Pelodiscus sinensis: one gene and its partner. The protein of the gene in region 1 interacts with the protein of each later gene in a pairwise test. Links are inferred from orthologs where the notes say so. Each region holds a gene or a part of one and is shown in the gene's direction. Other genes may lie near its edges.

Region 1 (3,748 bases):
CGCCAATTTAGTCCCCCTCTACTCCCTGTCATCCCTCGGCTCGCCTGCTCCTCCTCCTCCCGCCGGCGGTGGCTGGAGTCTCCTCCCCGCCTCTGCGCCCCCAGCCCAACCCTCCTCCATCTCTGCTGGGGGGTTAGAGCGTGCGGGGGCCCGGCCTCAAACTGGAGGGGGCGGGGGAAGATGCAGTACAAGCTCCCCCCTCCTCCCAGGGTCAGGCTGCAAATTTTACCTTTGCCCATGGGTGCATAACATCCTCGCTACGCTCTGGTCAAATTTCACAGGCTGCTCCCTCCCCCCGGGCATGGGCCAATGCAGCCAAGGCATAGCCACAACTTGGACGCAGAGTTGGCAGCCTCCTTAAAAGCCCCGCTCTGTGGAGAGAGGTGATTGCGTTGGACTCTCTTCCGGGCTTTGTTCATTGCTCTGTGTTTGCACGTCCTCCTAGTGCCCCTCCGCCCTGCCCCACTACACACCATCCCTGATAACTCGTGGGTGCAGAGACCAGCCTTGCTTGTAAAATAAGCACACAAGGTCGGTTCTAGCCCTCCCCAGTGCACAGGAGAAACCCACAACAACTTGAAAACAAGAACTCGTGAGGCTCTTGTCTAGAAGACAAAAGCCTCCCACCCCTTTTTATAATCTCAGGATTTTTAAGCCCATCCCATGGTTTTGGGAGCCCTCTGGGCCTTCTGGGTTTTGAGCCCAGGGAGGGGGCATTGCTGTGTTTTTCTCCCATTGACTTCAGTGGCAGTGGGATCACGATTTACGCCTCCCCGCTTTATCCCCTCCCCACCATCAGAACCTAAGCAGGGCCCCATTAGTCACTCTGGGCTCAACTGCTCTGCAGAACTGGGGTTAGGTATTCGATTGAGTGGGTCTGAGGAATGGAGACTTCTCTTTGCAGGCTTGCAGAGAGGGGGTGGTGGGAGATGGGGGGCAGATCTGGGGTGGGGTTGGGCGTGGGGCACAGCAGAGCCTGGGAGTAGCAGGGTTTTGCCCTAACTTTGCAGCGAGTGCCACTGGTGGGTTTTCTCAGGTGCTTGCTATCACCACATTTACAACAGTTCCAAAGAAAGTGCCTAGGTGCTTACGGCCTCTCGCTGCCTGGCCAGTCATGCAGCCCTGCTGCCAGTTGACAAAGGCCCAAATGCGGGACGTGGTTCAGGGTGGCAAAGGCCCAACCTTAGGGTCATGCAGGAAATGCCCAGTATCATGCGATTTCTTCCTACAGGCGAATCCCCAGCGTTCCCTGTAAGCCGTGCGCCTCGGAGGCCACCCAGGAGAGATTCTGGGTGTCTGGCTGGTGAGTCTTGCCCATGTGCTCAGGGTTTAGCTGGTCGCCATATTTGGGGTCGGGAAGGAATTTTCCTCCAGGATAGATTGGCAGAGGCCCTGGAGGTTTTTCGCCTTCCTCTGTAGCATGGGGCACGGGTCACAGCTGGAGGATTCTCTGCATCTTGGGGCCTTCAAAGTATTTGAAGGCTTCAATATCTGAGATATAGGTGAGAGGGTTAGTCTAGGAGAGGTGGGGGTGAGATTCTATGGCCTGCACTGTGCAGGGGGTCAGACTAGATGATCATAATGGTCCCTTCTGACCTTAAAGTCTATGAGTCTATGAGATTCGCATGCTGCCCAGCTGATTAGCAGAGCTCCCCCAGTAGGTGTTTCTACTGCTGGTACACATCCGCACATGCCTCCGGGCACCGAATAAAATGTATTCCACACATGAGTAGAAAGAATTAGAGGGAACGGTGCTAACGGCTTTCTCCCCTCAGTGCTGGGATTCTGTATTTCTTCTGTGAATAATTCTCAGCAGTGAAAAGGAGGGGTACTGGATGGTTTTCGGAATGTAGGGCGTTTCGGGGGTGAGAGGAGTGATGCCCCTTGAAACGAGGTCTGTGTGGGAGGGATGAACACAATAGCTGTGCTAAGCTGTCTTGGAGATAGCTGTGTTAGTCTGTAGCTTTAAAAACAATGAGTAGTCCTGGGGCACCTTGGAGACTAACAAAATGTGTGTGTGTGTGTGTGTGTGTGTGTGTGTGTGTTATCAAGAGCTTTTGTTGGTAAAATCCACTTCTTAAGGTGGTATGTTTAAAGCAAACAAACTTGTTTTGTGATCTCATGTGCATTGTTATCTGGATTTGGTTGTATCAGTTTGTTCAGACTCAAGTGTCACTAACTTTATTTTGCTGTTTAATCAGAAGCAAGTCCTTGTGCTTAGAGCAGGGGTCAGTGAGCTCCCACTTCAGACTTTTACTCCTCAGTGGGGAACTGGAAATGATCCCTGTTTCTCTGACCCCACCCTCCTGCCGATGGGTGAGAGGCATGGGTGTGGAAGATGTGGGGACCAAAGACAGTGGCCTATTTGTTGCAGTCACTGATCGTGTGCACCTTGGCTCTAGGTTACCCAGGGTGAGCCCCCGCCGTGTGTATCTGCAGCTCCCACTGACTTCAGCCGGAGATGCCTGAAGGCCCGTCGGTGAAGAGGTTCCAGTTGCTCACTGCTCCTTTTGTGGGGCAGGTCGTGGCCAAGGTGGGAGGAAGCAGCAGGCAGAGCAGCCTGCAGGATCTGAAAGCAATGAGGCTCCAGGACTCTCAGGTGAGCTGTGCTAAAAGGCAGCCTTGTCGGGACACGTCAGCCCAGCCTCCCAGTCCTGCCTGAACCGCAGTGCTGGTGCAGCGGAGATGGTGGTGTTGGATTTGGGCCAACCACAGTAACATCAGAGAGCCTCTTGTGCTCAGTGGGAAACATGTTCTGTGAAACGTTTGTGGCTCTGAACAAGTGCTGTATAGGCAGGTTTAGACACTACCCACATGGCTCCAGGACTCATCCTAGAGCACTGGAAGGGACCTCGAGAGGTCATCGAGTCTAGGCCCCTGCCTTACCTCCACTGCTTCACCATCCGGAAGCCATCTCAGTTAAACGGGCCCAGGCACAGCCTGCTTCCTGAACCCCTGTCCCAACCCTGAACCTCCTCCTGCACCCAACCTCCTGCCCCAGATGTGAGTCCTCCTACACCCAAACTCCTTCCCAGAGCTTGCACCCTGAAGCCCCTCCTGGACCCCAATCTCCCACCCTGGGCTAAGCCCGGAGCCCCTCCAACAGTCCAAGTCCCTTGGCCCAAGACCAGAGCCTGCACCCCAACCCCCTATCCGAGTCTGGTGCAAGTGAGTGAGGATGGAAGAGGAAGGGTATGGAGCGAGCAGGGTGAGGCCTTGGAGAAGGGATGGAACAAGGGCCGGGCCTCAAAGAAGGGGTGGGAAGGAAGTGGGGCAAGGGTATTTGGGTTTGAGGTAGGTCTTACATTGCCTTTAAATAGAAAAAGTGATCTTGTGCTCCAGAAGGCTGGAGACCACTGCTGTAGCAAGACTGGCAAAGCGAATAAGACTTCACAGGATGTGGGCTTCTGCCCTGACGGAGCTGGCTCCTATCTCCCAGAAAGTCCTCCAGATCCCTCCCATCCCTTGCACATTTGCCCTGTGGGCAGTGAGGGCCCCTAATCGTAAAACATTCACTGCTTGCAAATGCTCAAGTCCTCCGCCGATTCCTCTGCCCTTCATTTTTAGGTGTCTGGAAAGAATTTATTCCTGGCATTCTGTGCTGCTCTGGAAGCCCAGCCCATGAAGGGAAGCCCATCCCCAGTGGAAGAAGGGCCAACCCCCCAAGGAAAAGCTGACAGCGGGGCATGCTCCCTTCGCCAGGCTCGGGAGAGAGAAGTGGATGATGTCTCTCTGCGAAGCTCTGAAG
Region 2 (3,748 bases), on another chromosome or scaffold:
CTGCGGCCCATAGGTGGCCTGCTGGGGCTTTACCTGTGGCTTGTGGACCTCCTGGTCTACTCTCCTCCCGCCCGCCCGCAGGAGTCCTGCCCTTCTCACTCCTCCCCTTGCTTCCCAGCACTTTCGTGCTGCTATGAATCCACTGATTGACACTCTGCACCCTCCTCCCCCGAGCTGGAATGCTGTGAATCAGCTGTTCAAATGCTAGGAGGGAGGGAGGGAGGGGGAAGAGCAGGGACATGGCATCAATCAGGGGGCTCCAAGGGTCCCCATGTGTCAATCAGGGGGCTCCAAGGGTTCCCATGCATGAGAGCAGTATGGGGGAGGGGAGCAGAGAAGGGGCACACATGGTTGCCCATCGCTATTTTAGACTAACCATCTAGCAAGGCCCTGGGAAACCCATGTGAGAGGATGAGGGAACTATTCTATACATAACAAGAACAAGACAAGTCACATTTTTTGCCCCAAATCCCTAAACGGCCTCCACAAGGATTGAACCCACAACCCTGGGTTTAGCAGACCAGTGCTCAAACCACTGAGCTATCCCTCCCCTCCCTGGTAATACTCCAGAAGGACACATCCTAACCCTTCTCTGCCACCTCATACTCTTTGGGAAAGAGATGGAGAGCAGATTCCCTGCTAATATCCTTTCAACTGTGACGACTGTAAGGTCTGGAGATCTGTTTTCTGTTCACAAAACCTATAAAAACTTTCAACACCAAAAATGAAAAATGTGTCTCCCATTGGCACGAAAACCAGAGACGTCTTTGGAGGAAAGTGGCATTTGGACAATCCGCTGGAAAGGGGGACACCCGACGGGGTGATTCTATGCTGTGAGCTGCAAGTCCCTCTTTGCACAACGTTGACACAAGTCATCTGCAAAACCCTGGAGAACAATCTCAGGTTGAATTTGTTTTTATCTTACGATCGGCCCTTAAATCAAATGCAATCAGTGAAGTTCTCTCTTGCTTTCCCTCCCTTGTTTTAGTCCCTGGAATTTGACATCTGTTGAATTCTGGATCTGGTTTAGGGCTTTTTCCAAATCCAAGACTCGGGGAATTTTGTTAACAGAGCAATAAAAATAACTTCATAGTGGTGCAGGGAAACATTAAAGCCTTTTTTGTGTGCTGCTCTCTCCCTTTATAAAAAAAAAATACAGACAATGTTTCTTTAAAAGTCTCCATCTGCAAATCCCATTAGACGTGCGTATAAGGTTTCGGATGATTAATAGTTGCCCGCTTTGCTTTGGTTGGAGGGGCCGAGTGGATGCAAGTTTGCTCCTCCTTCCCCTCTCTCACATTTCACTTCACAAACTTGTCACTCGCTCCCCAGCACCGTATTTAAAAAGTGTTTCGCCCTGGCCCAGCATTTCTCAGGGAAGCAGCTGCAGGCCTTGGGAAACCATTCAGGCCAATCGCGGCAGAGATCTGGTTGGTGTTTTCCAGCTGGGACTATGTGGAAGTTTCGCAGGGCTTCCAAACAAACAAATTTGCCATAGGACAAAATCCACTTTTTAGGGCAGGCGGTGTGGGAGATCCAATTGTGGTTTTCCATAGAAGTTTGGACCTGTATTTTTTTTGTAAACCCAGTTTGCATCCTTGAAGCCTGCGCCAGATTCAGGTGCAAATCTTGCAGCTCGGGCGGCATAGAGGCAGCAAATGAATCCTTCCGGGAGCAGCTGCATGCGAAGCCCCTGTCCCACTCCCCCACTGTGGGGGTGTCTGCGGAATGCCCATTCGGACATCAGCCCGGGAGCAGGGGCACATCATTACTCACAAGCACCATTCTCATTCCATCAAAAACCCGACTTTGCGGCGTATTCCGATTTCTCAGCCTCTTGCCTGGCCACTGCCCCTCACAGCTTCCCCCGAGAGGAACGCATGTTCGCCGAGCACCCTTCCTTCCAGCATTCGGACTGGCACTTTGCAGCGTCTGAGGCCAGGAAGCGGCTAAATCCCGGTGTGGCTTTGGGTGCACGGGAGCTAGAAAGCGGCAGCCCAAACCTAGTGGCTGCTGCAGGGGGTGTGAATGAAGATTATGGAGTCACAGGAACCACGACAAATGAAACGGAGAAAAAGTCCTCCAAACGGAAAAAGGAAACCTCAGGTAGGTGGCATGTTCCCAGGGAGGTGGGAGGGGGGGTCGCAAAGTGTGCAGCATCAGCACATCTGTGAGATTCGGCGGCAGAGATTTGGGAAGGAAACATGTTAGAGTTCTTGCCTCGAGAAAAGTCTAGCCGGCAGCACAGAAGTACTGACCTAGAATGCTTGCTGTGTTTGCCCTGGCATTTCTGTTTGCTTTTCCATGTCGTGGGCCTGAACTAGCTACTTTCCCCTATGGCTCCCTTTCTGTAAGTGTCAGCCAGACTCAGGTGGCGGCCGATGTGGTGGGACGGCAGCCATGCAGACACATTGCGTGTCTCCATTTGTCAAATGATGGGGGGGGGGCATGTCACAAAACAGGCTGCCTGTGGGAGTGTGTTGGAAACAGGGAAAAAGCCAAACAGGTGTCGAGTGGGTTAGGGGCAAGTTACAGTGTGGAAGGTCTAGGCTGGATATTAGGAAAAACTATTTCCCTAGGAAGGTGGGGAAGCCCTGGGATGGGTTCCCTAGGGAGGGGGTGGAATCTCCATAGCTAGAAGTTTTTAAGTCTCGGCTTGCCAAAGCCCTGGCTGGGATGATTGAGTTGGGGTTGGTCCTGCCTTGGGCAGGTGGCTGGACTTGATGACCTCCTGAGGTCTCTTTCAGTTCTATGATTGTCACTAAAAGGAACCAGACCCTGCAAGGGAACACAAACGTCACTGGGGAGCAATCACAGATCGCCCACCCTGACTCATAAAGGAGGAGGCATCACGGTTGCTGGATTGCTAAAGGCATGCTTCTGCCACAAGCCTATCCCAAGGGCTAGCCCCAAGGACACTCATTCTGCCCTCTAAGTACACCTCAGGTAGGATCTCTATTGCTAGGTGCTGAGACTCTCCCTGGAAAATGATGTAACTCATTTTACAGTGTCCTGAGAGCAGAATAGCATGGACCTATCCCGCCACCTGCATTGCAAATGCAGAGTCTAGGCCACGCCCGGTGCTATCTGCAGCTGCCCACCGCAGGAAGCCACGTTGTAGTGCAGTGCGGGTTAAATGCCGCCAACCATCGGTGGTTTTCAGCTGCCTGCCATCAACGATGCCTCCTCCCCTTTGAGACACATCTCACCTCCGGGTCATTTTGGCTGCACGGTGGGTCCTTTCAATCCCAACCCAAACCAGGGGTGGAGTTGAAATGAGCGCCTTGCCCGCGATTTGACACAGCCGGGAAAAGAAAGCAGATGGTTTCACTTGCAAAATGAACACTTTCCGCCTCCTAGTTTTCAGGGATCTCAAGGACCCTTGGCTGCTTGTCGGTGTGAAATACATGGAGGGGCTGGAAGTTTCTCCCAAAGAAGCTATTGAGTTACGTATTTAGGAGGAGTCTCCCTCATTTGTGCCCACCCCTAACCTTGACGGATTTATTCGCCAGCACCCTTGGGAGATAGGAAAATGTCATCCTCAATTTGCAGACTGGGAACTGAGGGACAGAGAGGTTAAATAACTTGCCCAAGGCTACATGGGCTGCTTGGGCAGAGCCAGACTTTCAAGCCAGATCTCCGGACGGTCTGCCCAATGCTGTAACTCCCTGGCCATCTTCTTTCTTTCTTGTTCTGTCAATGCCATTGTTAGCCCCAGTCAGTGGCTATGTCTACACTGCCAGCTTTT

The links. The genes of interacting proteins can lie anywhere in the genome.
Region 2: the proteins of NEIL2 (region 1) and MEOX1 interact in binary tests that used the Homo sapiens proteins (3 or more experiments, as listed by UniProt). The two-hybrid records come from large-scale screens. The link is inferred for Pelodiscus sinensis from reciprocal best matches to the Homo sapiens genes NEIL2 and MEOX1.

The regions. Positions count from the first base shown.
Region 1 is NC_134713.1:2,405,963-2,409,710, reverse strand, and holds the start of NEIL2 (endonuclease 8-like 2), read left to right. Parts: upstream 1-900; 5' UTR 901-1,022; exon of another isoform or gene 1,023-1,231; 5' UTR 1,232-1,303; intron 1,304-2,402; 5' UTR 2,403-2,461; coding exon 2,462-2,599; intron 2,600-3,567; coding exon 3,568-3,748. UniProt on the Homo sapiens protein: Involved in base excision repair of DNA damaged by oxidation or by mutagenic agents. Has DNA glycosylase activity towards 5-hydroxyuracil and other oxidized derivatives of cytosine with a preference for mismatched double-stranded DNA (DNA bubbles).
Region 2 is NC_134739.1:7,788,859-7,792,606, forward strand, and holds the start of MEOX1 (homeobox protein MOX-1), read left to right. Parts: upstream 1-1,324; 5' UTR 1,325-1,658; coding exon 1,659-2,106; intron 2,107-3,748. UniProt on the Homo sapiens protein: Mesodermal transcription factor that plays a key role in somitogenesis and is specifically required for sclerotome development. Required for maintenance of the sclerotome polarity and formation of the cranio-cervical joints.